2 linked regions of the Pelodiscus sinensis genome follow. The main gene of each other region encodes a partner of the protein of the gene in region 2 in a complex. Links are inferred from orthologs where the notes say so. Each region holds a gene or a part of one and is shown on either strand. Other genes may lie near its edges. The genes, in order: PTP4A3 and CNNM3.

What was found.
Region 1: the proteins of CNNM3 (region 2) and PTP4A3 are in contact, whole or in part, in a crystal structure (PDB 5TSR), measured with the Homo sapiens proteins. The link is inferred for Pelodiscus sinensis from reciprocal best matches to the Homo sapiens genes CNNM3 and PTP4A3. Residues at the interface, in NP_060093.3 of Homo sapiens: Ser357, Asn358, Phe394, Asp396, Lys418, Val419, Asn421, Glu424, Gly425, Asp426, Pro427, Phe428, Tyr429; in NP_001425170.1 of Homo sapiens: Asn5, Pro7, Asp72, Gly73, Ala74, Val105, Ala106, Leu108, Gly109, Arg110, Arg137, Arg138, Gly139, Ala140, Ile141, Asn142, Lys144, Gln145.

The regions. Positions count from the first base shown.
Region 1 is NC_134712.1:6,590,031-6,605,639, reverse strand, and holds the start of PTP4A3 (protein tyrosine phosphatase type IVA 3), read right to left. Parts: upstream 7,013-15,609; 5' UTR 6,857-7,012; intron 1-6,856. UniProt on the Homo sapiens protein: Protein tyrosine phosphatase which stimulates progression from G1 into S phase during mitosis. Enhances cell proliferation, cell motility and invasive activity, and promotes cancer metastasis.
Region 2 is NC_134738.1:5,720,465-5,735,308, forward strand, and holds the start of CNNM3 (metal transporter CNNM3), read right to left. Parts: upstream 7,862-14,844; 5' UTR 7,847-7,861; coding exon 6,541-7,846; intron 2,078-6,540; coding exon 1,934-2,077; intron 1,490-1,933; coding exon 1,337-1,489; intron 1,100-1,336; coding exon 930-1,099; intron 668-929; coding exon 571-667; intron 364-570; coding exon 230-363; intron 1-229. UniProt on the Homo sapiens protein: Probable metal transporter.

The sequences.
Region 1 (15,609 bases), on a different chromosome or scaffold from region 2:
CCCTGAGCCCCCACGCAGCTCTGCCTGCTCCATTGTCCTGCTCCCAGACCAAAGGTGATAAATGTCTATCAGGGATAGTCTAGACAGTATTTGGTCCTGTCATGAGGGCAGGGGACTGGACTCGATCACCTCTCAAGGTCCCTTCCAGTCCTAGTATTCTACAATTCTAAGGTGAATCTTTTGTCACCTGGTCCCCAGGAAGTGAGACACTAACATACTTCCACAATGAGTCATGTCTGGCCGCCCCCCCGCCATGCAGAGAGACCTGGGGGGGACCTAATGTACACCCACACACACTATACCCCCCCCCACTAAGTGACACTCAGCCCCACCCAAGGGCCTGCACACCCCAACTGGTACCCGCACCCCAACCTGCACCTCAACCCCCAGGAATGCTCACAAAATCGGCCCTCCAAACAATTTCCATAACGAGATGTGGCCCTCAGGCCAAAATGTTTGCCCCCCCTTCTCTATGGTACTACAAATAATAAGAGCGAAAACAAGCCGCATGAGAAAGAGAATCTGTTCACATATCCTAGCATTTAAATAGTCACAACAAGGCTTTGTCACACACCTCACGTAAATGAGCAGGGTGGTAGTAGGGTGAGTTCACAGCTTTGCTGTTGATCTGGTTTAGCTGGAGACTTTTTTTAAAAAAGTTTTGCAAGTCTAGGTTATCAGGACAACAGCAGAACACCTGGGAAAGCAATGGAGAAGGGCAGCAGCAACAGAACTAGGCAGACTTCAGTTCCTGTCTACACATAAAGCTGTACCAGTTTAACAAAAAGTATGTATTTTTTAACCCCACACATACAACCAGTTCTGTTCTGCATTGGTAAGGGACCTCTTTAAACTAAGTCAATATAAACCAGGTTTAAATTCAAGAATGTCCACATTCAGGTTGCACCAGCTTAAATAAACCGTTTTTTAAAACAATGCCGCTTGCTATGAGGATCAGCACTTGCATTGTTGGGATGTCTGTGCTGTGTGAGTTCTAATGAAACATTTACACTCTCCCTCCTGCAAATTACCTTAGCTGTGCCAGCCTCACCCTCCTGCCGCAAAAATCCTGTGTCATGGGGCACAAAGAAAGTAGAGCTTCATTGGGAATTGTCAAAGATAACAAATGCCCATGCTCACTAGTGATTTTTCAGTCATAGAGATAGATGATTGTTTAACTTTCCCTCTCCAAGGACCAATTCCTCAGCAAGTGCTATTCTGTAGGTTTCTTTAATCACCTGTTTGGGTAATTGATGAGCATGGGGTCTTGAGATGCTATGTTCACCCACACACTCTTGCCAGTAAAATAGCTAAAGGAACTTTCCATCTAACTTGGAAAAAAACAAACACTCCCAACTGAGAATTTTACAAAATAATAAGCAAGTGAAAACAAATGAAGTTTTAGCTTTGCAGACACAGAGTAAAGATATGGAAAGATTACTATGATGGAGAACAAGTGATTAAGCAGCTGTTGGCTCTCAGTTGTACGCCAGAATTTAACATTTAAATTTTTTTTAATTAAATGTCTAATCCTTATGGTTGAGAAACAAACCTTCCAAACCAACCAAATTTAGCTTGATGCAGCTGGTCTTTCTGAACTGCAAGCACACAGCTTGAAACAGTAGCTCAAAAGAGCATGAATTACCACATTCTTCTCCGCTGGTTAATGATGCACTGCCAGGTGCTGCCAAAAGTTGCTAAAGTGCAAATACATCTGTATTAAGCATTTGTGAAATACAGCATAGAGTCCCAACTCAGTAAAATCTCACAGTTCTGAATTTAATTCCAGCTGTTGCAGAATACAACACGCGTGACACAAATCAAGGTGCCGTACTGAAGATTTTAAACCTAGTTGGCTGCAAAGTAAGGGATATTATTAGGGGAGTCAGTTACACACATGAGGTATCAGCTTCCACTGATGTGTGGTGTGTAACTGCCCCGGCCATCAATAACTGCATCCCTATAAGCCTACGTTTAAAGTAGGAGCCCTTTACCACTCGGGGAATAGCTGTATACTCTACCGACAAAGAACTCTTAGCTTAGACACAGTTATACTGGTCACCACACTAGGGGCTTCTGCTAGCACAGCTGTATTGAACATGAATTGTGTCTTTTCTCACCCCTGACTGTCACAGCGGGGCTGACAGAAGTCTGTAGTGTGGACCAAGTCTACAGCTTGTATTCTCGCTGAACAAGTTTACCAAAGACAGACGCACAAAAATACCCCATTCATTCCCCTTAAATCTCAGTTCTTCTGAAGTGGGTCTGGCCCACAAAAGCTCATCACCTAATAAATCATCTTGTTAGTCTTTATAGTGCTACATAGTCCTGTTTTTTGTTTCAGTTACACCAGACTAACACGGCTACATTTCTATTACTATTCCTCTGAGTGGGAAGTTAAAATTGATTTAGAAGCTGACAGTAATATAAACCCCAAGATCTGAGCTAATTGCAGGGATTAGTAATTCTGGTTGGACAAGATATACACACCACACGCATTTTGAAATAAGACACCAACATCTAGACCTAATGTCTCACAAGGGTCTGACCGACAATGCTAACAATTTGAATCTACCTAGGACCCAAAATGATGGTCACACGAAGGAAGAATTGTACACTGTACACATGTGCGCGCATGTGCTCCAAGACATAGACACAGCCCCAAAGAACCAGAAAAGAAACAAAGGCAGATGGGCAAAGCATTCCTACATAAGTGACTTGACAAATGTCATAGCTGTTCAGTGGCAGAAGCGAAATCGGAACTCAGGACTCCTGATTTCAACCCCAAACTTGTCCACTACACCATATTCCTTTACCATTTTCCTTGGCAATAAACTCAAGGCATTCAAATGTAAACAGTCTGTAATAATTTAAGTAAAATGCACGGCTTGGGAGGGAAACTGAGGGCTTGTCTACATGTAGAGCGATGCAGCCATGGCACTGTAGTGAAAACACTACTACACCAACAAGAAAGCTTCTCCTGTTAGTGCAGGTCAGAGGTGGGGAGCCTGCAGTCCATGGGCCACATCCAGCTCACTGCTTCATTTCTTCCAGCTCACACAAGCCTCTGCACCGCGGACAGGAAGCCCCAAGCCTCAGCACACACCCACCCCTTCCTGCAGGGCTGGAGCCATAAGCACTGGCTTGCTAACATGTCCCTGCAGCCCCTAAGCAGAGGAGGGAAATCAGGGAAGTTCGGAATGCTGCCCTTGATCTCAGAGCGACTCCCCAGCTCCCGCTGACTGGAAACCACAGCCAACGGGAGCTGCAGGGTGGTGCCTATGGGTGCACACAGAGCCTTCTAGCCCCTCCACCCAGGGACTGGACATGGCAGCAGCTTCCAGGAGCATTGCAGAGTGCGGGGCAGACAGGTTAGCCCCGCTGAGCTGCCAACTGGGAGCTACCAGAGGTACGTGCTACTCAACCAGAGCCTTGACGTCTTTCCTGCACACTAACGCTCTGACCCTGGTCAGAACCACCTCCTGCACCCGAACTCCCTCCTAGACCCTGCACACCCACCCACACTCCCTCCCAGAGCCCATACTCTGAACCTCCTCCTGCACCCCAACCTGTCCTAGCCCTGTCGTCACCCCTACCCCAGCCCTGAGTCTCCTCCTACACCCCAAACTCCTCATCCTAAATCCCCACCTCAAAGCTGGAGCCTTCACCTCAAGCGCCTGCCCTAGCTCAAAGCTCCATCCTGCACACGGAAGCCCTGATTTCTGGCCCCAAACCTCCAACTCCCCCCAGCAATATGTGGCCCCCAACTAATTTTGCCTGTGGCCCCTGACAGAAAAAAGGTTCCCTACCCCTCGTGTAGTTAATCCACCTCTGCAGGAGGCAGTAGCAATAACACAGTGCTAACTACAAAGGGGGAAGGGGGGAGGTTAGGTTCGTATAACTATTGCTCAGGGAGATGGATTATTCATAACCCAGACAATGTAGATAACAATGTAGATGTTAGGGATGTACAAAACCTTTTTAAAAAGTAACCACATAATTTAAAAATCTGAGACGTTAAACACGCTCCGGGCTCCCCAGGAGCAGGGCTGGTAGCCAGAGCCGGTAGCCAGAGCCAGCATGCACCAGAAACTGGCTTATAGTATAGGGATGTGAACGAGTACTCAAGTAGCCAATAAGCCTAGGCTTATCGGTTAATCTTCTTGACTACTCAATTTCACCTCCCCCTTGCTGCCTCTGCACCAGAGGCAGCGGGGGGGGGGGGGGGGGGGTAGAAGAGGAAGAGTGAAAGCAGAAATCAGTGCTGGGGGAAGCTGTCTAAAAAAATGGTTTCTCCCAGCAATGGCTCTGCAGTGCCACCTGGCCTACAGGTGTTCCGCATCCCACAGAGCAGCCTCTGTCTAACTCTATGGCAAGCCTGGGCCAGCTGCAGACAGATGCTGCTTGCAGCAGCCTCCCCCGCTCCTTCCCAGTAGCCTCTGTCCACAGGGAGACAGGGACTGCTGCCATCCCGCACTGCTGCCTCTGTATCAGAGGCAGCAGCACGGGGTGCCAGGTGGGAGCCAGTCTGCAAGGGGAGCTGGGTTTTAAACTGGCTTCCCTCACAGACCAACTCCCGCCTGTCATCCTGGGCTGCTGCCTCTGATACAGTTTGATACAGAGGCAGCAGCAGCGCAGGGTGGCAGAGGGCTCCCTGAAAATGGGGCAGGAGTGCACTGGCTTCCAGCCCCACCCTCGGGGACTATAGACAAATCAACTAACCACTAAGAATTCATGCAGTTAGTTGACCTTTCTATGACCTTTCCATAAGAAATTTCTATTTCTTATACCATCCCTAGTATACGTTTGTAGTGCAGACCTGGCCAAAGAAACGTGTCTCTAACATTTAAACACACATTCTCATGATGGCAATTGGATGACAACTGAGAGATGCTGGGGACTTTTACCAGCCTAGTCTTTGTTTGTTTAAAAATTAAACTAATGTCAAGGAAAAAGCCAACAAAATATACTCAAGCAAACTAGAACCTTGACAGTTATGTGTAGCCATTGCTACTTTTACCATGCAGCACCTACTCATGTGCCACTGCAAATCAGGTACTGTATACAGCAGTGGTCCCCAACATTTTGGGGCTGCCGAGCGCCTGGGGGCGGGGCCGCTCACGCGCTACGTGTACAGGGGTGGGGCCGCTCACAGGCCACGTGACTGGGGGTGGGGCCAAGCATGTGCAGCATGCCCGGGGCCGGCACTGGCATGTGCCATGACCCCGGGCAGGGGCTTCCCAGGTGCCGCCCAGGTGCCGCGCGCCTGGGGCCGGCCATGCGCCCGGGCCTGGCACCTGCTGCACGCCTGGGGGAGGGGCCAGCCCAGATTGCTCCGCAGGCACACAAATGGCCCAGCGGGCACTATGGCGTCCGCGGGCACCGCGTTGGGGACCACTGGTATACAGCCCCATATCCCATCCCATATACATTAAGAACACAAAAATGGACATACTGGGTCAGATCATCTAGCCTAATACACAGTCTCCTGACGATGCTAATGTCAGATGCTTCAGAGGGAACAAACAGGGCAATTATTGTGTGATAATAATTGTTGTCCAGTCCCAGGTTCTAGCAGTCAAAGGCTTAGGGACAATCCAGAGCAGAAAATTACATCCCTGACTGCTTTGGCTAATTGTCATCAAAGGGGGAGGGGACAGAAAATCAAGTCAGTTATGCTGTTGACCTTTACAATATCTCCTGGCAACAATTTCTACCAGTTGACTTTGCATTGTGCGAAGAAGTATTTCCCTGTTTGTGTTACACCTGATGCTTAATTATTTCATCAGGTGACCCTGATTCTTGTGTTATGTGAAAGGATACATTACACTTCCTTAGCCACTTTCTTCACACTAGTCATGAGTCTATAATCCCCCCCACCTTAATCATCTCTGTTCTAAGATACATGGTCCCCATCGTTTCTGTCACTCCTCATATGAAAGTTGTTCCAAACCCCTAGTAATTGTTTGCCCTTTTCTGTATTTTTTCCAATTCTTTTTTAAAAATGAGGAGACCAGAACGGCATGCAGTATTCTATCTTTACTGTCTCATTACCTACCCCTTTCCTAATGGTTCCTAACATTGTTAGCCTTGTTTGTTTCTTTTGGCCTGCCACTACACACTGAGTGGATGTATCCAGCAAACTATCTATGGTGACTCCAACATCCTGACTCCATCATTTTGGATGCAGAGCTGAAATTATATCCCAATGTGCATGATTTTACACGTATTGCTGATAAGTTCCATCAGCCATTTTGCCGCCTGATCACTCACTTTTGCGAGATCTCTTTGCAGGCAGCTTTGGACTTCACCAAGTCATTCTGTATCCTCTGCAAACGCTGCCACCACCCGGCCTGCCCCGTTTTCCAGGTTATCGGTGAACAAGCTGAAGAGCCCGGGGCCGGTCCAGCTCCTGGAGGTGCTCTGCTATTTACCGCTCGCCAGGCGGAAAACGGACCGTTTATTCCTACGCTTTGTTTGCTGAAAGGGCAGCGAGGCATCCTGCTTGGGGCGGCTGCAGCCCCACCGACTTCCTCCAAGCGCAAACACGTTCGGCGGGACGCTACCTCGCGCAGGATGCTCCTCGCCCGGGCGCACACCAGGACACCTCCCTCCCAGGGAGCCACTGGGCCAGCGGCAGGACGGGGGCTGCAGCGCGCCCCCCTTGCCGGCGACTCGCCCCGTTGCACGGCGCCCTGTGCACGGCGTGCCCAACTGGAGAGCGGGGCAGGGCGCGCTGCGGGGAGCAGAGGGGCGCCCACGCCCGGGGAGGGGGGCTCGTTCCCAGCGTGCACACGACGCGCCCCCCAAGTCCCGCACCCGGGGGTCCCCCGCCCCATTGTGGCCCCCCCCTCACCTGCTTGCGCCGCGCCGACCCTGCCAGGGCGCTGCCGCAGCAGCAGCAGCAGCGGCTCGCGCACTCCCGCCCCGCGCCGCACGCGCTCGCTCCCTGGACCGCTGACGGAGCTCCGGCGCGCGCTCGCGCTCCCACGCGCCTGGGCCCCAGTCCCTCTGCGGCGCGCTCCACCCCCTCCCCGCTGGTTCGGAGGCGGGTGGGCGCAGGGGAGGGGGGCAGATGGCGTCACGTGGGAGGGGGAGGGGGAGAGTGAGAGCAGGAGGGGGAGGGGCAAAAGGAGAGTAAGAGGGGGAGGGGCAAGGGGGAAGAAGAATAAAAGGGAGAGGGGGCAGGGACAAGGAGTAGGAGTGAGAAGGGAGCAAAAGGCAGGAGCAGAAAGGGAGAAGAGAAGAGAAGAGAAGAGAAGAGAAGAGAAGAGAAGAGAAGATGAAGGGGGAAGGGGGAAGGGGGACAGAAGGTGCTGAGGTTGCAAAGAAGGCATGGAGGTGAGGAGGCCTTGTGTAACTGCAAGATAGGCCCAGTTTCTACAGGCTAGTTTTGCTGTTGCCAACATTCAGTTTTTATCCCAAGTGTTACCTATGGTGCTCCCCCCCCCCCCCCCAAGTTCAAGGAGCATTTCTGTAAGCTGTTATCAGGCTAGTAACACAATGGTTAACTCATACACTAACCTGCAAATTCAGTGCCTTGGAGGAAGAAGTTAGGGAATCTGTGAGAAATCCCAGATGGGGTTAAACTGCATCACACGTTGGAAAATGATTGTACAGCGTAATGTCACGCGCGCATTTCTCAAAACGGGACTATCCCTACAAATACACCCAGAGCTTGGAATTAACTATTGAATTAACTAATGTATAAGTTCAGCACTACCCTCTGCTGGAGGGAATCTGGACTGTCCAACTGTGTGTCACAGGTTCTATACAAAAAGCACCTGAAGGTGACTCACGCTTAGCACAAGTAGAAAAGGCATCATTCAAAGCCCACTGACTTTTGAAAGATTTGAGTTCTAGCCCTGCTAGCAGACGCCAAGTGGGCATGCTGGCAGCATGTTGACAACAGTAGGTAGGTAAGGGTTTGTATGTAATGGCCTGACATAAATGATCTTTCTTCTGGAGTACAGTGGTCAACTCACTTTAAACTGAGATGAAATGTTCAGAGATATACAACAAAGATGACTGGAGGTACTTACACATTGTGTGAGATTCCAAAAGCTATGTATAGGAAGGAAAAGAATTAAAATATGAAGAAGAGTCACTTGACTGATGTGTTCATTGATGAGAAAGGGTAGTGTTACCTGATTTCACTGGAGAACAACCCAGGGTTACACTAATAGGCTGTGTCTAGACTGGCCAGTTTTTCCAGAAAATCAGCCGCTTTTCCAGAAAAACTTGCCAGCTGTCTACACTGGCCGCTTGAATTTCTGCAACAAAACTGACGATCTCATGTAAGAAATACGGAAATAGTTTTCAGTTAAAAGCATTTTCCGAACAGAGCGTCTAGATTGGCACAGAGACTTTTCCGCAAAAGCACTTTTTGCGGAAAAGCGTCCGTGCCAACCTAGACGAGCTTTTCCGCAAAAAAAGCCCCGATCGCCATTTTCGTGATTGGGGCTTTTTTGCGCAAAACAAATCTGAGCTATCTACGCTGGCCCTTTTGCGCAAAACTTTTGCGCAAAAGGACTTTTGCCCAAATGGGAGCAGCATAGTATTTCCGCAAAAGGCACTGATTTCTTACAGTAGGAAGTCAGTGCTTTTGCGGAAATTCAAGCGGCCAGTGTAGACAGCTGGCAAGTTTTTCCGGAAAAGCGGCTGATTTTCCGGAAAAACTGGCCAGTCTAGACACAGTCTGAGTTATCAGAGTCTGTGTCCATCACCGAGAAGCCCGCCCAGACCTCATTTTCCTCATGGATATTACTTCCTTCTTCTCATCTTTGCTGCACCTCCATTTTTTGCCTATCTCATGTGCAAGCAAAGATTACCTCAAACCCACCTAGCCTCTGGCTCCTCCCTGTAGCCTCATGGCTCTTCTCCACAAAGGCACAAACATTACACTATTCACACCACTTACACACACCCACACACTTCCTTGTCACAGGATAGTGTTACAGACCTTAAAGATTGTACAAGTGAAGTTACAAAGCTTGCAAGAAGTTGCAGAACTTGAAACATTACATGAAAGTTACATGGCTTACAATAAGAGAGTTGCAACTCTCTGGCTGTCTCTACACTGGTATGAATTTCTGGAACTGCTTAAAACGGAATACTATTCCGTTTTCAGTTTTTCCGGAAAAGGAGCGTCTACATTGGCAGGCTGCTTTTCTGGAAAAGCCCTTTTTCCGGAAAAGCGTCTGTGGCCAATGTAGATGCGCTTTTCCAGAAAAGAGCCCCGATCGCCATTTTCGCGATCAGGGCTTTTTTCCGGAAAAGACTACTGGGCTATCTACACTGGCCCTTTTCCGGAACAGTGTTCCGGAATAAGGACTTATGCCTGAGCGGGAGCAGAATAGTTTTTCCAGAATAGCGGCTGATTTTGTACAGTAGAGCGTCGTTGCTTTTCCGGAAATTCAAGGGCCAGTGTAGACAGCTCTCAGCTTATTCCGGAAAAGCGGTTGATTTTCTGGAATAAGTGGCCCAGTGTAGACACAGCCACCGTGTCTGAAACTGACAACTTAGAACAACTGAGGGTGTGGGTAGACTACAGGGTTTTTTCCAAAAAAGTGGCCTTTTTTCAAAAAAACCTTCTCCTGCATCTAGACTGCCCCTGTGTTCTTTCAAAATTAAATTGAAAGAACGTAGCAGTTTTTTTGACCGTGGTAAATCTCATTTTACAAGGAAGAAAAAGGAAGAATGCCTTTTTTTTAACTGTTCATTTTTTTTAACTGTATCCTTTGGTATATATGGTTGTGACTATTTTCTTCCACTATTTGATCTGAGGAAGTGGGTCTGGCCCACGAAAGCTCATCATCTAATAAACCATCTTGTTAGTCTTGAAAGTGCTACATAGTCCTGTATTTTTTTTGAAAGTGCTCTTTCAAAAAAAGGTGTTCTTGACTGCAAACAGGGCTTTTTTGAAAGAGAGTATCAAGACCGCCTGGGTGCTCTCTTTCGAAAAGCAGCTCGCTTTTTCGAAAGAAGTCGTTGCAGTCTAGACACTTTCTTTCAAAAGAGGCTTTTTCGAAAGATTCTTTTGAAAAAGCCTCTTTCGAAAGAATCTTGTAGTCTAGACATAGCCTGAGAGTTACATATCTTACAACAGAGCCACCCCACTCACAATGGCTGATAATGACATGATTTATAATACTAAAAGTTATATGTCTTACATTCACATTATACCGGGTTGGGCGGAGGTTTTACACAACATTTTGCAAAAAAACAGAAAAATCCTTTCCTGCTTACACCATATCTCCATAATTCTACAACAATGAGTTACTTGAAATTAACAACAGATTAATTTGAGACAAGCATATGGAAATATTTTTCACACAGTGGTCAGCCAGCTTGTCGAACGGCTATAAAGTTAGCTGAACTTAAAAGAAGACTGGAGAATTTCCTAAACAATATAAACAACAAATTTAATATGATGCAACTCACAGTAGAAAAGCCAGATGCTCTCTAGATATAATGAGATTACATCAGTGGTCACTACCCTGGAGATGTGGGTGATTTAAAAGCTGCAAATGTTTAGCTGTTCAGGACAGGGGTCTTGTCTTAGGCAGTCAATAGGTTACTTTTTTATTATAAATCTCCATGTATATCTAGGGTGCTATTTAAATACCATAAAATGGAAGAAATGAGACCAAAGCACCAGTCTTCAGCACTAGCTGCCTTTCTTAATTTATTTGTGATGGATAGTTTTTTATGGCACTTGTCACTATAGCATCTGAGTGCCTCCCAGACATTAAAGAAGTATTATGGTCTCTTTTTTACAGAGATGAAGTGAGGCACCAAGACGGATTAAGTGCCTTACCTGAAGTTATATAGAAAATCTGTAGTAAATCTACTAATAAAGTCATACAAAAGTAAAGATATAAAGGACTTCAAGAGGTCATCTAGCCTAACCCTTGCCCTCTCTTCCTGCATACTCACTAAGTACTAAGTGTAGCTAGATCATCCTTGACAGATGTTTGTTCTTAAAAACCTCCAAAGACAAGGATTCCACAACCGCCTTTGAATGTCTCTTCTAGTACTTAACTAACCTTATAGTTAGAAAGATTTTTTTCTAATATCTAATGCAACCAGATTAAAGTAGTTCTCAGTTCCAGAGACATGCTTTACACACCTTCTAGACTACCCTCGGCTTCCAAAAGATATGCAAATTCGGGGTGAATTTGCATATCTTCTTCCGATCTCTTTTTTGGAAGAGTTTTTTTTTAAAAGCAGTCTAGATGGGGTTTTTCATGCAATCCCCCCCCCCTTTTCGAAAGAACCCTGTAAACCTCATTTTTGAGAAATACGGGTTCTTTCAAAAAAAAGGGGGGGGTGCTTTTTTTTCCGAAAAAACTTCTTCCGAAAAAGGGATTGGAAGAAGATATGTAAATTCACACCAAATTGGGTTCTACAAATGAAGGACAGAGTACATCCACACAGCAAATCAAAGGTGTGATTGAAGAGCAGGTTAGATAGCAATGAAAACATGACAGCATGCACTTCAGTGTGGGCTACCAACCCAAGCACATACCTACATCCTTGGCAAGATTGTACAGTGGTAGCTAGCCTCTGCCAAAGCCCATGCGTCTGTATTTTCGTTACTGTTATTGCACACACCAGCTAGATTAAAGCTAGCACACAGGTATGTGTCTACCAGTGACTCCATCTTCATATGCTGACTAAGTGGGCTGTGCCCATGAAAGCTCTTGTTCTCAACTGCATGTTTTATTAGTCTTTAAAGTGCCACTAGACTATTTGTTGTTTTTTTAGTTTTTTTTTGTTTTTTGTTTTGTATCCTGAGAATCACAGAAATCTGCTCAAGGTTACATTATACATCTTTATCATTTTGAGATAAAGCTGCCTTCAAGGTTTCTCCTGTTCTATAATATCTATCAATGTGCTCCCTGATCATTTTCATTGTTTCTCTGTTTAAATATTGAACTTTTTGGAGCAGAGATAATGCCTTTTGATCTGTTTTGTGCAGCATTAAGCACACTATTGGTGCTTAGCAAGTAGCAATGTCTATGGCTAGACCAGGTATAAACTCTAGGATGCCTATCACCGTACAATATGCAAAGGAGGATCCAGTTCGTGGTCTATGGAGCTTACAATCGAAACAGAGTGTACACACATACAATGCCTGGGATGATCAGAGGCAGGTTTTGTATCACAGTGTTGCAAGATTAGAGATGACTAAGAAAAGAGGAGACTAAGGGGGGATATGATAGAGGTCTATAAAATCATGAGTGGTGTGGCCAAAATAAATAAGGAATTGTTATTTATTCCTTCTCATAACACAAGAACTAGGGGTCACCAAATGAAATTAATAGGCAGCTGGTTTAAAACAAACAAAACTCTGCCAGAGAATGTTGTGAAGGCCAAGACTATAACAGGGTTCAAAAAGAACTAGATGAGTTCATGGACGATAAGTCCTTCAATAGCTATTCGCTAGGATTAGCAGGGATGCAAAATCAGGCTCTGAAATTTCCCTAGCTTCTTTTTAGCCGGAAGCTGGGAACAAGCACCAGGGGATGGATCACTTAATTATTTTCTGTTCATTCCCACTGAAGCACCTGGCATTGGCCATTATGGGAAGACAGGATATAGGATTAGGTAGACCAGGGCTACTCAACATGTGGTCCATGGGCCACATGCGGCCCACGCCTGTTTGCTTGCAGCCCGTGGTGCAGTTTGAGTTTATGCAGGGCTTGACATAGGTGGGATCTTTTGAATATGGCCTCCACTGGGAACACGCTCCACAATGGCGAGGCATCGCCCAGGCAGTCTGAGCGCTGAAAGATGCAAGTGGACGGACTGACTGGAACAGACAGGTACAAGGTGTCGGCATTTCTAACCTTCAGCGAGGAGGTGCCGGCCCGCCGGGGCATTGTGGGAAGTGCTTTGTATTCATGCCCGTCAGTGTGAAAGAATCTATTTGCATATATAGTTGCATGTATAAGCCACCACACTTAAGTTGCGGCCCTCGTCAAGTGCTGTGAGTATCACTGTGGCCCCCAGGACTTCCAGAGTTGAGTAGTCCTGAGGTAGACCATTGGCCTGATCCAGCCAGTTCTTATGTTGCATATGTTCTTTCTTGTTCTTCTATGATAACATGTGACAATACTGGTTATGTAACTGGCTTCACACCAGTTGGCTTTGCAGAATGTGTGTGTTCAAAGGAGAACCACGCACGTGAAGACAGATTAATTGAAAAAGGAAATGATTGTTATTCTAAATGTGTAGAACCTTTGGGGGACTGTGAGGGGTTATTATTAGAGAAGGGGTTAAAAGCCAGTTAATGCATGCGTGATTTGACTGATTGATTGATTGATTGATTGCCATTTGGCCAGAAGGAGTGAAGTTATGTATAGCTCATTTTAGGCCCTTGGGCCTTATAAGAATCTAGAAACAACTGAGGAAAGAGACTTCTTGCTGAGGAGACAGGATTTTCCCATTGAGAGCAGGTCAGGTTCCTGTAGGGGTGACCCTGAGATAGAGTGGGGCCAGTAAAACCACTTAAGTGGAGCCTAAGAGGTATGGAAGACATATGAGTTCAGTAGTGAATGGAGGCTGTGTTAAGCACAGGCAGTGGGAAGCAATACAAGGGGGCGTAGCAATAGGAAGCAGCCCAGAAAAACAGTAGCAAGTCCGAAGAAGCAGACCTAGCTGCCTGGTAGCGGGGTAGAAGCCACAAACTAGAACAGATGGTGGGCATGGCTTCCTGAAGAAAGAGAACACAAGTCAAATGTAAGGAATATGAAGCCCAGCATGACCCCAAAAGCTGGGGTAAGGAATAGCTCAAACAAGTCCTCAGGTGAAACCAGATTTGACATGCATATTATTTCCATGGTAAAAAATCAAACCAGGCCTGTACGCGGGGTGTGTGTGTGTGTGTGTGTGTGCGCGCGCGCGCAAAGGGTGCTAACCCGCTCCTCCATGGTCCTCCAAGTAAGTGTGAGGCTGGGGTGACACGTTGCCCCAGCCTCCCCACACCCCTGTGCTCCGGTTGGCCAGGACACAGAAGTGGCGAGTTGCCCCAGCCTGCCTCCCCTGTGCTCTCACGTGCCAAATTTTGCCTGTTGAATGAGTTGGCCTAACCAGTTCATGTCTTTATTCAAACCTTGATTAATGGTGACAAAATCTGACACCTTTAATCAAGGTTTGAACAAAGACATGAACTGGATAGGCTGCTACATTCAACACCTTAATGACATCAAAAGTTAGGTACCCAATACTTAACGTACAGCACTTACAGCCCACTCTATTAGCCTCATTTAGCATGGACACTCTAATTGACAAGATTTTTTTCCTTCTCTTTCCCTCTCCTGTTCCCCTCTTTTTCTGTCATTTATTTGTAATTCCGGACCCCCATGCTCCATTCATTTGAAGATGTGGGTTGTGCCCATAAAAGCTCATGATATGATCTACATGTTTTGTGAGTCTCTAAGGTGCTGTAGGGCTATTTGTTGTTTTTAAATTTTTTTTTTAAGAATTGGATTTGTTTCGTTTAGAAAAAAAAAAGACTAAGGCTATGTCTACAGTGCAGGCTTCTTTCAGAAAAAGCTTTTTTTGGAAGAGATCGTCTGAAAAAACTTCTTCTGAAAGACAGCGTCCACACTGCAAAAGTGCATCAAAAAAGCTATTTGCTTTTTTGAAAGAGAGTGTGCAGACTGAATGGATGCTCTCTCGCATGTAAGCTGTCATTGCTATGGACATAATGGCCACCAAGGCACCTGTGCTTTTTCCTCTTTCCTCTTCTTCCAAAAGAACTCCCTCTTCCCCGTCCACACACGCCTGTTTATGAAAGACCTCTTTTGCAAAAAGGCTTCTTCCTCGTAGAATGAGGATTACCAATGCTGGAAAAACCCTTTTGTTCTTTCGATTTTCTTGCAGAAGAATGCAATTGCAGTGTGACATTCCTCAAGATTTGCTGGAAAATGGGCTGCTTTTCTGACAAAACTCTGTAGTGTAGACATACCCCAAGAGGGGACAGGATAGCTGTTTTCAGGTATCTAAAAAGGTGTCACAGGGAGGAGGAGGGGAAATTGTTTTCCTTGGCCTCGGAGGATAGGACAAGAAGCAATGGGCTTAAATTTCGGCAAGGCAGTTTTAAGTTGGTGTGATGGGGTGCAGGTTCCTGCCTCCCAGGAGCTCACGGCACCCCGCACTCCCAGGCACGCGAGGGGCAAGGGAGGTGCCGGCGGGGACGCCGCAGGATCAGCCGCAGCGGCAGAAGGCGCTGGGAGCCGGGGACATGGCCGCACGCGTGCGGCGCCCCAGCTCACATGCCCCGCCTTCACGGGGGTCGCCAGGGGTCTAGACGTCATCAACGAGGGACCCCCCGCCGAAGACGTCATTAGCCGGCGCCCGGTTGTGAGGGGCGGGGCCACGCTAGTTGGGCCCTTCAAAAGACGCCTGGAAAGGGCAGAAGGGGGGAGACTCTGCTCCGGCAGAGGGGGATCAGCCTGGCATGGTTGGAGCAGAACCAGCGGCATGGAAGGTGACTCTACCCGCCGAGGGCGGAATGAGACCGGCAAGGAGGAGGAAGTGACCCAGGACGGGGGCAGGAGGCAGCATCAGCACCTCAATCAAGCCCAGAGGGTTGGTGAG
Region 2 (14,844 bases):
CCCTGGCCCTCCCAGAGTGGGGTAACTGAGCCCAGCATCCCGGGGGAACCGGCACTGCAGCCCTGCTGCCCGGGGGCAGGGTGGTGCTGCCCCCCAATCACACCTAGTGGGGCAGAGCAGCGGTGGCTACAATCGCACCTCCCAGCCGCTGGCTCAGAGCACACGGGGCTCGTCCGCAGGCCCAAGCCCCACACGCTCGCCCGGCAGCCAGCCCGGCCGGGGCACGTACCTTGATGAGCTGCAGGTCGGTGAGCGCCCGCACGGTGTAGTCGGGGCAGTAGGTGGAGTAGGCGGGGCTCTCGCTGCAGTCCTGAGGCTGGTCCCGCCGGCTCGGCCGCAGGGTGGACACTGGCGACTGGTGAACTGGGGGGAGGCAGAAGCCAGTGGGCCAAGCAGCCAGCGGGGAGCCCAACACCCGCAGCCCCCAGCCAGCAATCCAGGGCCAGCCTGGGCCCCCAGCTAGGCCAGGAGCCATGCGGAGCCCGGGGCCTGGAGTCCCCGCATCTTTCCAGCCAGGGGGGTGCACTTAGCACAGCTCAGCCGGGGACTCTCAGGGACATGGGGGCTCACCCGAGGAGGGCGCCGTCAGCGCTGCGACGCCGTAGTACGTGAATGCTCCGTTCTCGAACCTCAACCCCTCCTTCCCGATCTCCACTTCCACCCTGCCCTGCGGAGGAGAGGCCCCGGGTCAGGTCGGCTCAGCGGAGCCCCCCCCATGCTGCATTCTCTGGTCACTGGGTGGGCAGACACCTTGGCGTGCTGCCAGCACAGCCGCCCGAGATCCCGCGCGCTTGCAAACCCGGCGTCAGCCCGTACGCCAGCTGGGGCCCTGCGGGGGTGGGGAGCCAGGCCAGAGCCCAGGGATGTGCCCAGTGGCTCGGCGCTGGGGTGACGGGAGGGACGGGGGCAGGCCCAGGAGGCGCCGGTACCTGCAGGACCAGGACGAAGTAGTTGACCGGCTGGTTGCGCTGGTACAAGAAGTGCTCGGGCGCCAGGCGGTCGCTCTCGTTGAATTTCACCTCCTGGTTGACGCTGGGGTGCTTCAGCAGGTGCAGCAAGACCTTCTCGGAGACGCGGGCCGGGCTGAACAGATCCACCTCTGATGGGGAGCGAGCGGCAGAGAATCCAGCCTCAGCCGGGGCGGGCGCTGCATCCGAGCCGCTCCCGGGACACGGGACTTTGGGTCCCCCTGCCCCGAGCCCAGCAGGCCCATAGGGAGAGCCCAGACCCCTCTCCTGCCGCAGGAATTGCCAGCCAGAGCCCGGACGTACTGGCGCTGGGCGAGCCGGGCGCGGAGCCAGGGAGGGCTGGGCGCGGGCTGCCTGCCCACACTCACCTCGGGATAGGAAGCGCTGCGTGGCCAGCAGCAGCTGTGGGGAGATCTTCACCTTGTGCTCGTTGTCAGCCTCCTTGAACAAGGAGAAATCTTCCTTCCTGTGCTCCAGCAGGGTGCCCACGGGGGCTGGCTTCTTCCGCACCCTGTTCTCCTCTGAGGCACAAGAGAAGGCAGCATAACCCTGGGGGGCCAGAGCCCTCCCGAGCAGCCACAAGCTGGCAGGTCAAAGCACAGGAAAGAGAGCTTGGCATCCCCCCACCCCCCTAGGGAAACTGAGGCACGGAGCAGGGGAGGACATGCTTCAAGTCATGCAGGAGCCACACTCCCTGTTCTCCCACTACTAGGGCCTCCCCCTTCAGCAGGCAGCCTGACACCCCCCACCCCCCGCTGGGAACAGCCCCAGGCGGCCTGGTGCACCAGCCCCCGACATGCTGGGGAGCAATGGGCCAGCCTGGCCTGTACGGGAGGGGCTGGGGGAGACGTAGGAGCAGGAGGGCCCGGCTGTCTCTGCAGCGAACGCCAGGCATGCAGCGCTGCCCACCAAGCCACGGGTCCCAAGGGCTCGGCAGGCCCCGGCCCCGCATGGGGCTCACTCACTGTAGTCGTCCGACTCGTCCAGGATCTCCGACTTGATGATCTCCTCGATGACGTCCTCCAGCGTCACCAGGCCGATGGCCTCGTAGAAGGGGTCGCCCTCCCCCTCGTTGTTCACCTTCTGCACGATGGCCAGGTGCGACTTGCCTGGGGGTCACCGGACCCGCAAGTCAGGAAGAGAACCCAGGAGTCCGGCGCCCCGCCTCATGCGCCGACCACCGGAGAACTCTGGCTCAGCCCAGACGCACCCCGTTCCTATCCAGCTAGGGAGCCGCAGGCAGCAAGGGGCTAGGCAACAGCCCCCCATGCTGCCGTGTCCCCCCCCTTTCCAGCAGGGCATTGCAGCAGCGACGGGGGCGATTTACCTCCAGGCCGCTGTGGGGGCCTTCTCTCTCCTGGCTGGGGCTCAGCAGCAGCGCACGGGGCCACTTTACACTGCGGGGAGTGGACAGCCATCACAGACACTGGTTCTGGAGCCACAGGTGGGTTCCTGGAGCCCTCAAGTGGCTGGCATCCGCCCTGCCCCCTTCCCCGGCTAGGGGACTCAGACTCCCACAGAAGGGATGTGGGGGTCCAACTGGCCATCTGCAGCCCAGATCTGGCCCTCAGGACCATCCTGTCTGGCTTCGTACCATGCTGGGCTACCGAATGGCTCGCTCCATGCGGGGCGACTTTGGGTGCACTGTGCAGGTGAGGTGGGGGGCACAGCCCCCACCAGGCCAGAGGACCCCACCCCACAAACACGGCCCGCAGCCGCTGTCCCTAGAGGCGCCCAGACACGTGCCAAACGCATCCTGTTTGCTTGCACCCACTAGCCAGTGAACAGGTTGCTCTGTATCGGCCCTCTCGCTGTTCCCCTCTCCCAGCGTCTGGATCCCCTGCAGCCCTGACCAGGTCACAGACAGAAGCCTTAACGTGATCCCTACAGGCCCCTGCTAGAAACACCCCCGCCCAATGAGGGTTTCCTGCTTACAGCTTGAGACCCCCACAGGCCACACGCTCCCACCCCCACTGAAACCCACAGGGTAGGGCCCTGCCAAATTCACGGGTCACTTTGGCCGATTTCACGGCTGCGGTGTCTTAGAATTGGTCAGTGTCATGATTTCAGATGTTCACATCTCAAATTCCAGTGTCCGATCGGTGGGAGTCCTGATCCAAACAGGCCCCAAAGCTGTTCGGGGGGGGGGGGGGGGGGGGGCGGGGGGGCAAACATTGCTCACATAGCCACCACCCTCAGCCCTCATCTGCAAAGGAAACCTGCCCCCAGCTGGGACCCCACCTGCCCCTGGAACTCCTGAGGGCAGGTCTGCGCTGGGGCCGGCGATGGGGTGTCACTCAACCCTCAGTGTAGCCAAAGTCAACGTCCCTAGTGCTACTTACTACAGCGTCTGCACTGCACTGCGCCCGCTCTCGCCGCCCCCAGCACTTCCTGCTGAGGTGCTGTACGGAGGCCAGGGAGCAAGTGGCTGGACTGATGGCTGCCCATTGGCCCAGCCCGCAGGGAAGACGTGCCCCGAGCTCCCAAGTTCCCCTCTCAGCCACAGAAGTGAGTCCAGTAGGAGAGGACCTCACCCCCCAAGACCTAGCAGCTTTCAGTCCATTTAACATGGGCCACACTCATCGCGCCTCCTCCCAGTCTGTAACCAAACGCTGGGCAGTGCTAGATCAACCTCCCAGCAGAAGCGCACGTCCGCTACGTCCACCCTGCTACGTTTTCAGCCAGACTCGTAACCTCACCCAAGAAGCGACTGGCTAGTTCCACAGGATGGATTTTCCAAAAGCCCATGTTAATTGGCAATAATTAGATCAGCTTCCTTTCATCTGTTATTCCTCGAGTCTGCATCGACCACTCGGTTGCTTGCACAGGGTCAGCGTCACACTGGCAGTGCCGGGACTGCCTTGGTAAGCCAGCTCACCCAAGTGAAATACTGGCACAACGTCAGCTTTCCTCAAGCCTGCGGGAACCTCCCCAGTGCCCCGAGTTAATGAAAATCAAATCAGAGTCCACGGGGCCCAGGGCCAGCTCTTTTCAGACTCTTGGATGCAAGTTACATGGACTCCACCCCCCACGGGCATCTCAGCCGCTTCCGACTGCCGAGTCGGGCTCTGGCCAGAGCGCAGAGAGGCTGACAAGGTCGCTCTCTCGCCGCCAATCCCACCCCTCTGGCCTGGGAGAGCTGGTTTGCTGATGGCAGAACAGAGCAGCCCCGGCACCTCAGGGGAGCTCAGAGCACTTAGCGCCATGGCTCCCGACTGTCACCTGCACTCGCGGGCGGGACGCTGTCAACCAATAGCAGAGCTGGGAATAGAACAGTCCCAACCGCCAGCCCCCCAGAGCCACCCACGGAACCCGGGAGTCCCAACCGCCGGCCCCCCAGCCCCCCCAGAGCCACCCACGGAACCCAGGAGTCCCAACCGCCGGCCCCCCAGCCCCCCCAGAGCCACCCACGGAACCCGGGAGTCCCAACCGCCAGCCCCCCAGAGCCACCCACGGAACCCAGGAGTCCCAACCGCCGGCCCCCCAGCCCCCCCAGAGCCACCCACGGAACCCAGGAGTCCCAACCGCCGGCCCCCCAGCCCCCCCAGAGCCACCCACGGAACCCAGGAGTCCCAACCGCCGGCCCCCCATCTCCCCCAGAGCCACCCACGGAACTCGGGAGTCCCAACCGCCAGCCCCCCAGCCCCCCCAGAGCCACCCACGGAACCCAGGAGTCCCAACCGCCGGCCCCCCAGCCCCCCCAGAGCCACCCATGGAACCCAGGAGTCCCAACCGCCGGCCCCCCAGCCCCCCCAGAGCCACCCACGGAACCCAGGAGTCCCAACCGCCAGCCCCCCAGCCCCCCCAGAGCCACCCACGGAACCCAGGAGTCCCAACCGCCAGCCCCCCAGAGCCACCCACGGAACCCGGGAGTCCCAACCGCCGGCCCCCCAGAGCCACCCAGGGAACCCAGGAGTCCCAACCGCCGGCCCCCCATCTCCCCCAGAGCCACCCACGGAACTCGGGAGTCCCAACCGCCAGCCCCCCAGCCCCCCCAGAGCCACCCACGGAACCCAGGAGTCCCAACCGCCGGCCCCCCATCTCCCCCAGAGCCACCCACGGAACTCGGGAGTCCCAACCGCCAGCCCCCCAGCCCCCCCAGAGCCACCCACGGAACCCAGGAGTCCCAACCGCCAGCCCCCCAGCCCCCCCAGAGCCACCCACGGAACCCAGGAGTCCCAACCGCCAGCCCCCCAGAGCCACCCACGGAACCCGGGAGTCCCAACCGCCGGCCCCCCAGAGCCACCCAGGGAACCCAGGAGTCCCAACCGCCGGCCCCCCAGCCTTGCCAACCAAAGGTCACTGCAGGGCAGCGGCAGAGCCTGGCTTGAACTGGGGCCACCTACCCTCCTGCAGGCCCCGCCCTGCCCACCCTCTGGTTCGCCCTCGGCCCAGGGCTGGCTTGGCCCACGGTCACACGGAGCGGCAGGGGCTTTGGGCTCCGCTCCAGGCCCAGGAAGGAAGCAGCCGGTTCCAGGGGCCCTGAGGAACACGGAGCTCAGGGCAGGCGCCAGATCCCTGTGGCCATGAGCTGGCCCTGCCAAACGTTTCCATGGCAGCAGGGGCAGGCCCTCCAAGCGCTCTCCCTGCCTCTGGAGGGAAGAGCCTGGCTTTGAAGGTGACCTTCCCCAGGACCCATGGGGAGGGAGGGAGGCACTGGACTGAAATCAGGGGAGGGCAGCGCGAATGGGCTTGCTGCGGATTGGTGTCCACCAGCCCCTGCAGGCGATGGGGGGACCGCGGAGCAGGGCTGGCAATTGGGCTGTGTGGTTTGGTTAGCTTCTGCCAACTCAGAAGCCCAAGAACCACTTGGGAGCAAAGCTCTCTGTGTTAACGCTTTCACAGTCCTTCCGCCAAGGGCTGAGCGTGCTCACTCCACTGCCCAGCTGTGCCCCCCGAAGCCAAGAGACACCGAACCGGGAAGATGTTCCCAAGGGCCAAAGCCAGAGCACGGGAGCTGCAGGCATCCCACAGACGCTAACCACAGGTCCAGGCACCAGATTCCTCCCTTTCCAGAGCAGCACTCCCTCACCTCCCGCTGCTCTGGCCTGGCCAGGCCAGGTGGGAGACAGGGCTCACTGCGCTGAGGGCGGGGCTCCGGGCATGGCACTAGATGGCACAATAGCTGGGTAGGGAAATCCGACTGAATCCCAGCCTCTGCCCTGCTTTGGGGAGGGCACGTCTGCCACGAGCGGCAGCAAGGAGCCAGCCAGGGCCAAACCTGCCCGGCCATCGCTGGCAGGGGCAGACCCCAGTCAAAGAAGGGGGCAGCAGTCGGTCCCGGCTCTGACCCACCCGGCTGGTGCATGGAGAGAGGCCAGCCCTGGGCGTCCCCCAGGGAACATGGGAAGTTGGCTGCCCAGCAGTGTGGAAGGAGTTAACTCCTGTGTACCCAGCCACCTGAGCACTGCATGGGCCGCTCCTGGGTATCTCCTGGTAAGGGTGATGCTTCCTGGGTAACCGGTTAACAGTTCCCAGCCCAGCAAGGAGAGAGCCCCCTGGTGCCCCCGCAGGACAGCACCCCCTTGCATGGAGCTGGAGCAGAGAGGCCCCGGGGCACTGGGGCGGTTACCTCGCTTGAACTCCTCCAGGACGGCGTCCAGCTTGGTGTCATTGAAGACAAAGTGCAGGGGATGGTTGTAGAACTTGATGATGGTGCTGAGGGGCACGCGGTCGTCAGGGTCCACCAGCGCCAGGTCCTTGACGTAGAGCATGTCCACCAGGTTGGTGCGCTCCCCCTCGTAGACGGGGATGCGGGTGTAGCCGCTCTGCATGACGACGGACATGCTGTGGAAGTCCAGCACGGCGCCGGCGCTCAGCATGAAGCACTTGTCCAGCGGCGTCAGCACGTCCTCCACCGTTTTGTTGCGCAGGGCGCCCTTGCTGAACTCCTCGCGCACGAACTCGCTGTACGGGTCGCTGCTGCGCACCATGTCCAGCACCTTCTCCCGCAGCAGGCAGGTGCTGGCGTCGTGCCGCAGGGCCAGCTCCAGCAGCTTGCTGAGCGGCAGCGAGATGGGGAAGGTGAGCACCATGCAGAGCTGGGTCAGCCAGAGCCCGCGGGACGCCAGCCAGAGCCCCCACCGTGCGCTGAGGGCAAAGGGCAGCACCTCGGCCAGCAGGAAGACCAAGGCGGCCGCGGCCAGGATGGCGGGCGCCAGGGCCCGCAGGGCCCAGCCGATGAGCACGGCCAGCGCGGCGTTGGCCAGGGTGCTCAGCAGCAGCAGGGCGCAGAGGGCCAGGGCGCCCCGGTGGCGCACCCGCTGCAGCGCGGCCCCGGCCCGGCGCTCCGCCTGCGAGCCGCACTCCCGCAGCACGGCCAGCTCGGCGGGCTCCAGCCACAGGGTGCTGAGCTGCAGGGCCCGCAGCCCCCCGGCCAGCGCCAGCAGCAGGGCCAGCAGCAGGGCCAGCAGCCAGGGCGCCGGCCCCTCGTCGCCCACCAGCACCGCGTCGCCGGGCGCGGCGGGGGCCCACGGGCGGCCCGGCCCCGCGCGGCTGCACAGCTGGTAGGTGCCGGGCGGGCCGGCGGGCGACACGGCCACGCGCACCAGCAGCGCCGCGGGCGCGCCGGGCGCGCGCTCGTCGGGCTGCACGTGCAGGGCGCGCGCCGGGCAGGGCTCGCCGGCGCGCGCGAAGGCCAGCCAGGGCCCGCTGCGGTTGCGCAGCCCGGTGCCGTAGAGCCGCAGGCGGAAGCGGGCCCCGGGGCGCGCGCGGACCAGCCCCCCCGCCGCCCAGGCCCCCTCCTCCAGCCGGAAGCCCAGCACGTGGGGAGGGGGCGGCGCGGGGGGGGCGGAGGAGGGGGGGGGCCCGTCGCGCCCCGCGGCGCAGCCCAGGCACAGCGCGGCCACGGCCCAGCGCAGCCCCCAGCCGCGCGCCATGCCAGTCAGCTGACGCCCCCCCCCCCGCGCGCGCACAGCCTCGCCTGCCGCGCGGGGCCGGCCAATCGGGGAGCGGGGCCGGTGGGCTCCGGCCAATGGGCGGAGGGGGCGGGCCCAGGCGAGGGAAGCGCAGGTTGGGCTGCGCCGGGACATAAACAAGCAGGGGGCGGGGCGAGCGGGCTGGATTTAAAGGGCCAGTGAACGCAGCCAGCACCGAGCCCCCCCACCCCCATGGACAGCACATAGAGCCCCCCCCACACCCCTGGACAGCGCCCAGCGAGCCCCCCCACACCCCTGGACAGCGCCCAGCGAGCCCCCCCACACCCCTGGACAGCGCCCAGCGAACCCCCCCATGAACAGCGCCCAGCAAGCCCCCCCCACACACCCCCATGGGCAGCACTTAGAGCCCCCCCCCACACCCCTGGACAGCGCCCAGCGAGCCCCCCCCCACACACCCATGGGCAGCACTTAGAGCCCCCCCCACACCTCTGGGCAGCGCCCAGCGAACCCCCCCCATGAACAGCGCCCAGCAAGCCCCCCACACACACACCCATGGGCAGCACTTAGAGCCCCCCCCACACCCCTGGACAGCGCCCAGCGAGCCCCCCCCCACACCCATGGGCAGCACTTAGAGGGCCCCCCACACCCATGGGCAGCGCCCAGCGAGCCCCCCCCCACCCCCATGGGCAGCACTTAGAGCCCCCCCCAACACCCCTGGACAGCGCCCAGCGAGCCCCCCCCCACACCCATGGGCAGCACTTAGAGGGCCCCCCACACCCATGGGCAGCGCCCAGCGAGCCCCTCCCACCCCCATGGGCAGCAGGTGCCACAAGGATGCTAAGGATTGTGGTTTTCTGTAGAATTTCCAGCAGTTACATTTACACCGGGGGGGGGGGTGTGTGTGTCACACTCGTTAGGTTTTAAGTTGGCTCCCGGTGAGCATCAGCTCCGGCCTGGCCCCGTGCTGCTGCCACTGACAGGGAGGCAGCAGGGGTGGGGTGTGGAGTTGTTAGGATTAACCAGTAACCCCAGGCTTATTGTTTAAACACAGATATGTTAACATCCCTGCTACCAAGCCCCCCACAAATGGGGCAGCCCCCCCGGGCCTCCCCCTGGCAGTAGGTACAGAGTCCCCCCACACCTGTGGGGCAGTGGGTACTGAGCCCCCACGTACAGGGCAGCGCACAGCAAGGCTCCCCCCAAAGCCATGGGACAGCAGGTCAGAGGGTACAGAGCCTCCCCCCAAGGGCTGCACCGTGCATCTAACTAGCCCCTTCAAAAAGGGACAAGCCTGAAAAAACCTGGACAGGTGGCACCTGCCTGTATCCAGGGGCCTTATTGGAAAATCCTGGGCACCTGCCCTCTTCTATAGGCCCCGCCCCCAGCACTGTGGGCAGGGCCATTGGACCCATGTTCCAAATAAATATAGGGACCAATTAATGACAAGCAGGTTCAGGGCAGCTGGGTAGAGGTTCAAAGCGAGGGATCCAGAAGGGGGAACCCCAGCCACGCCCACTGATCCTCGAAGTCATCTGGGCAGCCAGTGGACACTGCCCTGGGGAACTCCGCCCGGATACATGAAATTAGGGAGGAGTGGAAACAGGACCCACCGTCCCTGAGCACCTCCTTGCGCAGCATCCTCCTCCTGCTGCTGCTGCTGGTGGCCTTGGCAAGGAGGCCCTGTGGCTTTGTGGGGCCACACGTAGAGGGCGCAGAAGTAATGAGGGGCAGGGAAAGATGCAGCCAGAGCCTCAGCAGGAGGAGACAGATTAGGGGCTGCAACCTGATGCACCAGAGGTAGGCGGGCGCCAGCTTCTACCTCACGCCTCTAAGGGGACCGGCCTCAGGGATGGGGCTGAACCGTGCCCGGTCCACGCCCGTGCTCGTGGCTCTGTGAAGAAGCTGCCCACTGACATCCCTGGCCAACCGTGGAATCAGGGAGGACTAGAGACTGGCCCATTGGGGGTCCTCACCCTCCACAGGGGGTAGCAATCCCGCCACTTGGGGCTGGGCCAGGACGTGAGGGTCAGGAAATGGAGCGTGTGCACACTTGGTCCGTGGGTGCAGGTCTCACAGCCGGCTGGGATTGCAAAGGGGAGGAAGCCAGGTGTGTGTGGGGGGGGGGAGAGGACTCGCGGAACAGGGGCCCAAGAAAAAGGCTGGAGAGCTTGCAGTGAGGGGGAGCAGGACGTCCCCTCCCATGGGGCCCGCTGTAGAAAAACGAGAGAGGGACATGCACCTTCTGAGGCATGTGTGGGGGCTCTGAAGGGCGGAGAGCCCCATGCAGCAACTGAGCACTTGGGATCTACCCAGTCCCTCGGTCACGTCCAGGAGCCCTGGTGGTTCCTGCCAGGACCAGTCTCTGCCACACCGAGGGGGACTCTGCTGCCTGTGCCTGCAAAGACAGGTTGTGTAGCAGGGGCTCCCTGAGAAGAGCGTCGAGGGCCGGAGGAGGCCCTGGCAGAACACTGGAGCTCAGTGAGCTCTCGCAGACCTCTCAGGAGGGAAAAAGCTGCCGGTTGAATTGGAGCCCTCGGAGGCGGCGAAAAAAGGCCAACGTGCTCCTGGCCGGACGGTGTGAACCATCCAGGGGCCTCCGCTGGGCCTGTGGGGGGAGGTACAGACCTGGCTGTGCAGGCAAACCAAGCCCTGTCCCCCATCCTCCAGTATCCAGCGGCCATGAGACCTGCCCATGCCTGAGTCCGGGACTGGAGGAACTTCTCCCTGCCCAAGGCAGAGCTGAGCAACCTGGAAGGGCCCAGGGGCTCAGAAGGGCAGGATCTCACCTCCTTTTCCCCTTGGCCATGGTTAGCCTGCAGACAGCAGGAAGCCCAGCCCCGTGATCTACGCAGTTGGTGCTTTAAAAGGCTGGAACGGATGAGGAGCCAAATCAGCTGGGAGGAAGGATTTACTCAGAAAAGCAAGAATGATCATGGGAATGTTACCAGCTCACAAGAAAGCCTCAAGCCCATTTACAAGGGAGAAGGCGGAATTGGGTAAGAAGTCAGCCTGGGTTGGGGGGAGTCAAGGCAGCTATTTCGAGGGGAGTGGGAGAAAGGGAATGTTGACATTCATGCCTAGAAAGCAGAAGCCAGGCAGGGTAGAAAATCGATGAGCAGCCCCAGGACACAGGCATCCATTGTGAGTCCAACCTTGAATAAAGTGTGCCGTTCCCATTGCCTCATCTGAGAAAGATTGATTAGAATTTGAACAGTATAAAGAAGGGTGGCAAACAAAGATTAGGGGGTCTGGGACAGCTTCCATGCCAGGGGAAGATTAAAAAGACTGGAACTGTTCAGCTCAGCAAAGAGAGGACTAAGGGGGACGTGATAGAAATCAATAAAATCATGACTGGTGTGGACAAAGTGAATAAGGAATTATTATTCACCCAACGATATGAATAGGCAGCAGGCTTAGAACAAAATAAGGAAGTACTTCAAACAAGGCACAGGCAACCTGTGGAACTCCTTGCCAGGGGATAGTGTGAAGGCCAAACCTTTAACGGAGTTCAAAAAGGAAAATCATGGCTATTAGCCAAGATTGCCTGGGATGCAACTCCAAGCTCTGAGTGTCCCTAACCTCTGACTGCCAGAAGCTGGGAATGGAGAACAGGGTGGATCACTTACAATTTCCCTGTTCTGTACATTCCCTCTGACGCATCTGGCACCAGCCACTGTCGGAAAAGAAAATACAGAGCTAAACGGGCCTTTTCTCTGACTCCATCTGGCTCGAGGGCCTCGTGCGGAACCTGCTTTTCCTGTTGGGGTCTTACACAGGAAGCCTCGAGGGCACTGCACACACAGCCCCCAGCCCTGGCCAGTCACCCAGGCAGCAACGGAGCAGGCCCTGGTGAAAGCAGCCCCATGCTGCAGCCCCCACAGTCAGAGCAGGAAGATGAGGGTTTGTTTTAGTTGTAAAGTAGGTTTAGAACCCAAACTCTGCCCTGTCCCTTTGCATTCTTAGCAGCGCCTGGAGCCAGGTTGGGTGCTGAGGAGCAGGGCAGGGAGCAGGTTAGCTCTGGAGGCGGCTGCCTGTCACTCAACCAAGGCCCTACCAGCTTGGGCGAATGGAAAATGAAGAAGCAAATATCAGTGAATCACAGAATCCTCGAACTGGAAGGGCCCTCGAGAGGTCGGTGAATCCAGTCCCCTGCCCTCACGGCAGGACCACGCTCCATCTAGACCATCCCTGACAGGTGTCTGCCTAACTTGCTCTTCAATATCTCCAGCGATGGAGATTCCACAACCCCCCAGGCAATTTATTCCAGTTTTAACCACCCTGAGAGGCAGGAAGTTCTTCCTAATGTCCAGCCTGAACTTCCCTGGCTGCAGTTTAAGCCCATTGCTGCTTGTCCTGTCCTGAGGCCAAGGAGAACAAGTTTTCTCCCTCCTCTCTGTGACACCCTTTTAGGTGCTTGAAAGCTGCTGTCCTGCCCCGTGTCTTCTCTTTCCCGAACTCAACAAACATCAGAAACTTGGATTCGGTCAGTTCCCACTTCATCTCTCTACTAAGCTCCAAGGGCCAGGTAAAGCAGCATTGCTGAGGGGGGTGGGGCTATGTGCATGGACCCCAGCTGGGATCTGGCCCATCGACTCCCACGGGGTGATGGCCCATTTGCCTCAGCGGGTGGCCTGTCCCCTAGAGCTGAATACAGACACGAAAACAGCACAGGGCTGAGCGTCACTGACTTCAAGGGAATCCCAGCAGCTTCCATCTACTGTGGATCTGGCCCAAAACGCCAGCGCTTGTGACATGACATCATTCGCTTCCTACCACATGTGACCAGAAACGATTAAACGGGAACAGGCTCTCCACTGCCTGTGAAATCAGATGCAGGCTCTGCCTCCTGCCCTCTGCCTACAGGGTGGGAAGGAATCTTGGGGGCGCACAGAGCACAGCAGGAGGGGAATAGAGAGAGAGATTTTATTACTCAATCAAAAATAAATTCCATATTTCGTTTAGCAAATATCATTTCTTAGCAACAGAGACGCAGACTCAGAAATGAAACAAAACAAAATCCCCTCCCAAAAGGGCACAACTCAGACCAATGGAAAAAGTATCGTCCGAGAAACGACGGCCCCCAAAGAATCACAAACATGTACAGATTACCTCTGGGGCAAAATAAATATTCGTCAGTTGCTCCCTGGCACGGCCCATCTGCGGCGCTTGGACCCCTCAGCTATGCAAAGCCAGGATGCTGGGGAGTCCAGTGCAGGGTTATTGCTGATTGGCAGGGGAGGAAAGCCAGAGGAATCAGGGAGAGGAGCTAAAGGTCCCGGCAGAGGATGTGTGAGACACTCCCACTGGTGCACAAGAGTAGAGAAGGCACCCGCATCCGAATGCAACACTTTGTACCTGTCTGCATGCAAAGCAGGGCAGAATCAGACCCACAGACTATGGGACGGCCGCTACGTTTGAGGGCATTTGGCGTCTTGATCTGGGTTTCACCCAGCGATGCCAGTGGGGAAAGGACTGAGCAAGACTGGCACATGTCCGGGTGTTGTGCACGTCAGTGCCAGCAGCAGCTGCCAAACCCACTGCCCTTGCTAGGGGTAGGCTAGGCAGCGTTTCATGGACTACCCTGGAGAAAAGCTCAACAGGACTCATGAAAGTGACCAGAGAGCATCAGCTGGGCCTTTGCACAGAACCCACTGCCCCTCCTAACAGGCCTAGACTCTGATCAGCAAGGACAGGAGGGGCCACTCCAGTCTGCTCTCCCAGCAGCATGGGTTTGGAGTCAGTCCTCTAATGTCAGCAGATCACGCCCCCCAGCCAAAGCAGGTCCAGGGGTGCGTGCAGCCCAGATGCAGGGAAACACCAATGGGTCGGCTTCCACGGGCCATGTGCTTTACTCCCCCCAACTGCACAGGGGCTGAAGCACATAGCCAGGGGCAGCTCTGAATACAGGGGATGCTTTGCTGGATTGGAGCCAAGCTGGCCCAAAACACGATCAAAGCATCACTGCTTCTGAGGTCCCTGCCTGCTCTCCCACAGGGGACAGCAAGGACACATGGACTGAAAGAGAAACCTGCCTCTTGTCATTCATTGGACTGGCCCCATAAGTCCGCAGTCGAAGAGCGGCTGCCCACACCCCTCTGACGAGGCAGGTGACAGGAGCATGGGGGCTGCGCCCGCACGGCCACGAGGGACGGCAGAAAGCGGTGTCAGAAGACCCACTGGCTTTTCTCAACCAAGCGTCGCCGAGATCAACATTCCTTCTTGAAAACATGGACTTTTAAAACCTCGAGCGTCTCTCCTCATTACCAGTGTAACTTAGAGAATCAAGCTCCCCACAACCCGCTATCAAGTCACCCCCTTTGGGAGCTGCTGGCGTCTGTCTGCAATAAAGTACCTCGCGCCACCAGATCGAAGCAACAGCCAACAAGAGCCTGTCCATGGGCAGGGGAGACATTCCCAGGAACACCACCACACTGTGCAAGCTGTGTCTGTGCCTTGGCCCCTGCTGGGGGCTGCCCCACGTCTCCAGAAGGGGGGCTGGAGGTGCACAGTGTGTCTCAGCCCCTGCCTTTCCACGGACACTGCCGCTGGAATGCAACAGACGTACAAAGCCAATTCTGCAAGTAGGAGAACTGGGAAATGGGGGCAAGAAGTCCGGTCACTGGAGTGTTCCTTTAAAATGCTGAGGAGCGAGCCGGGTTGGCCCCAATCCTGAACCCTGCTCCCCACAGGTGGATCGCGGCTCGTGAGGTATTTCTGCTACTTGGATGGGCTCTGCCTAGGTCCCAGGGCCACCTCCATTGCATCCAATTGCACAATCAGGGACTTAAACACCCTGCCCCCCTCCAGCTTCTCCTCTAACCTGGCCACATTCATTCCCCTGGGATCCTCCCACTCCCACCCTATTAGTCTGCATTAGAGGCCTCCCCACAGGCTCAGGCCTGCAGGTTCTGTCCAAGACCGAATGGAGGCTCCCTGCTATGGACGGAGTGTCCAGCAGGGCACCTGTGCTTTTTCCTCTTTCCTCTTCTTCCGCAAGA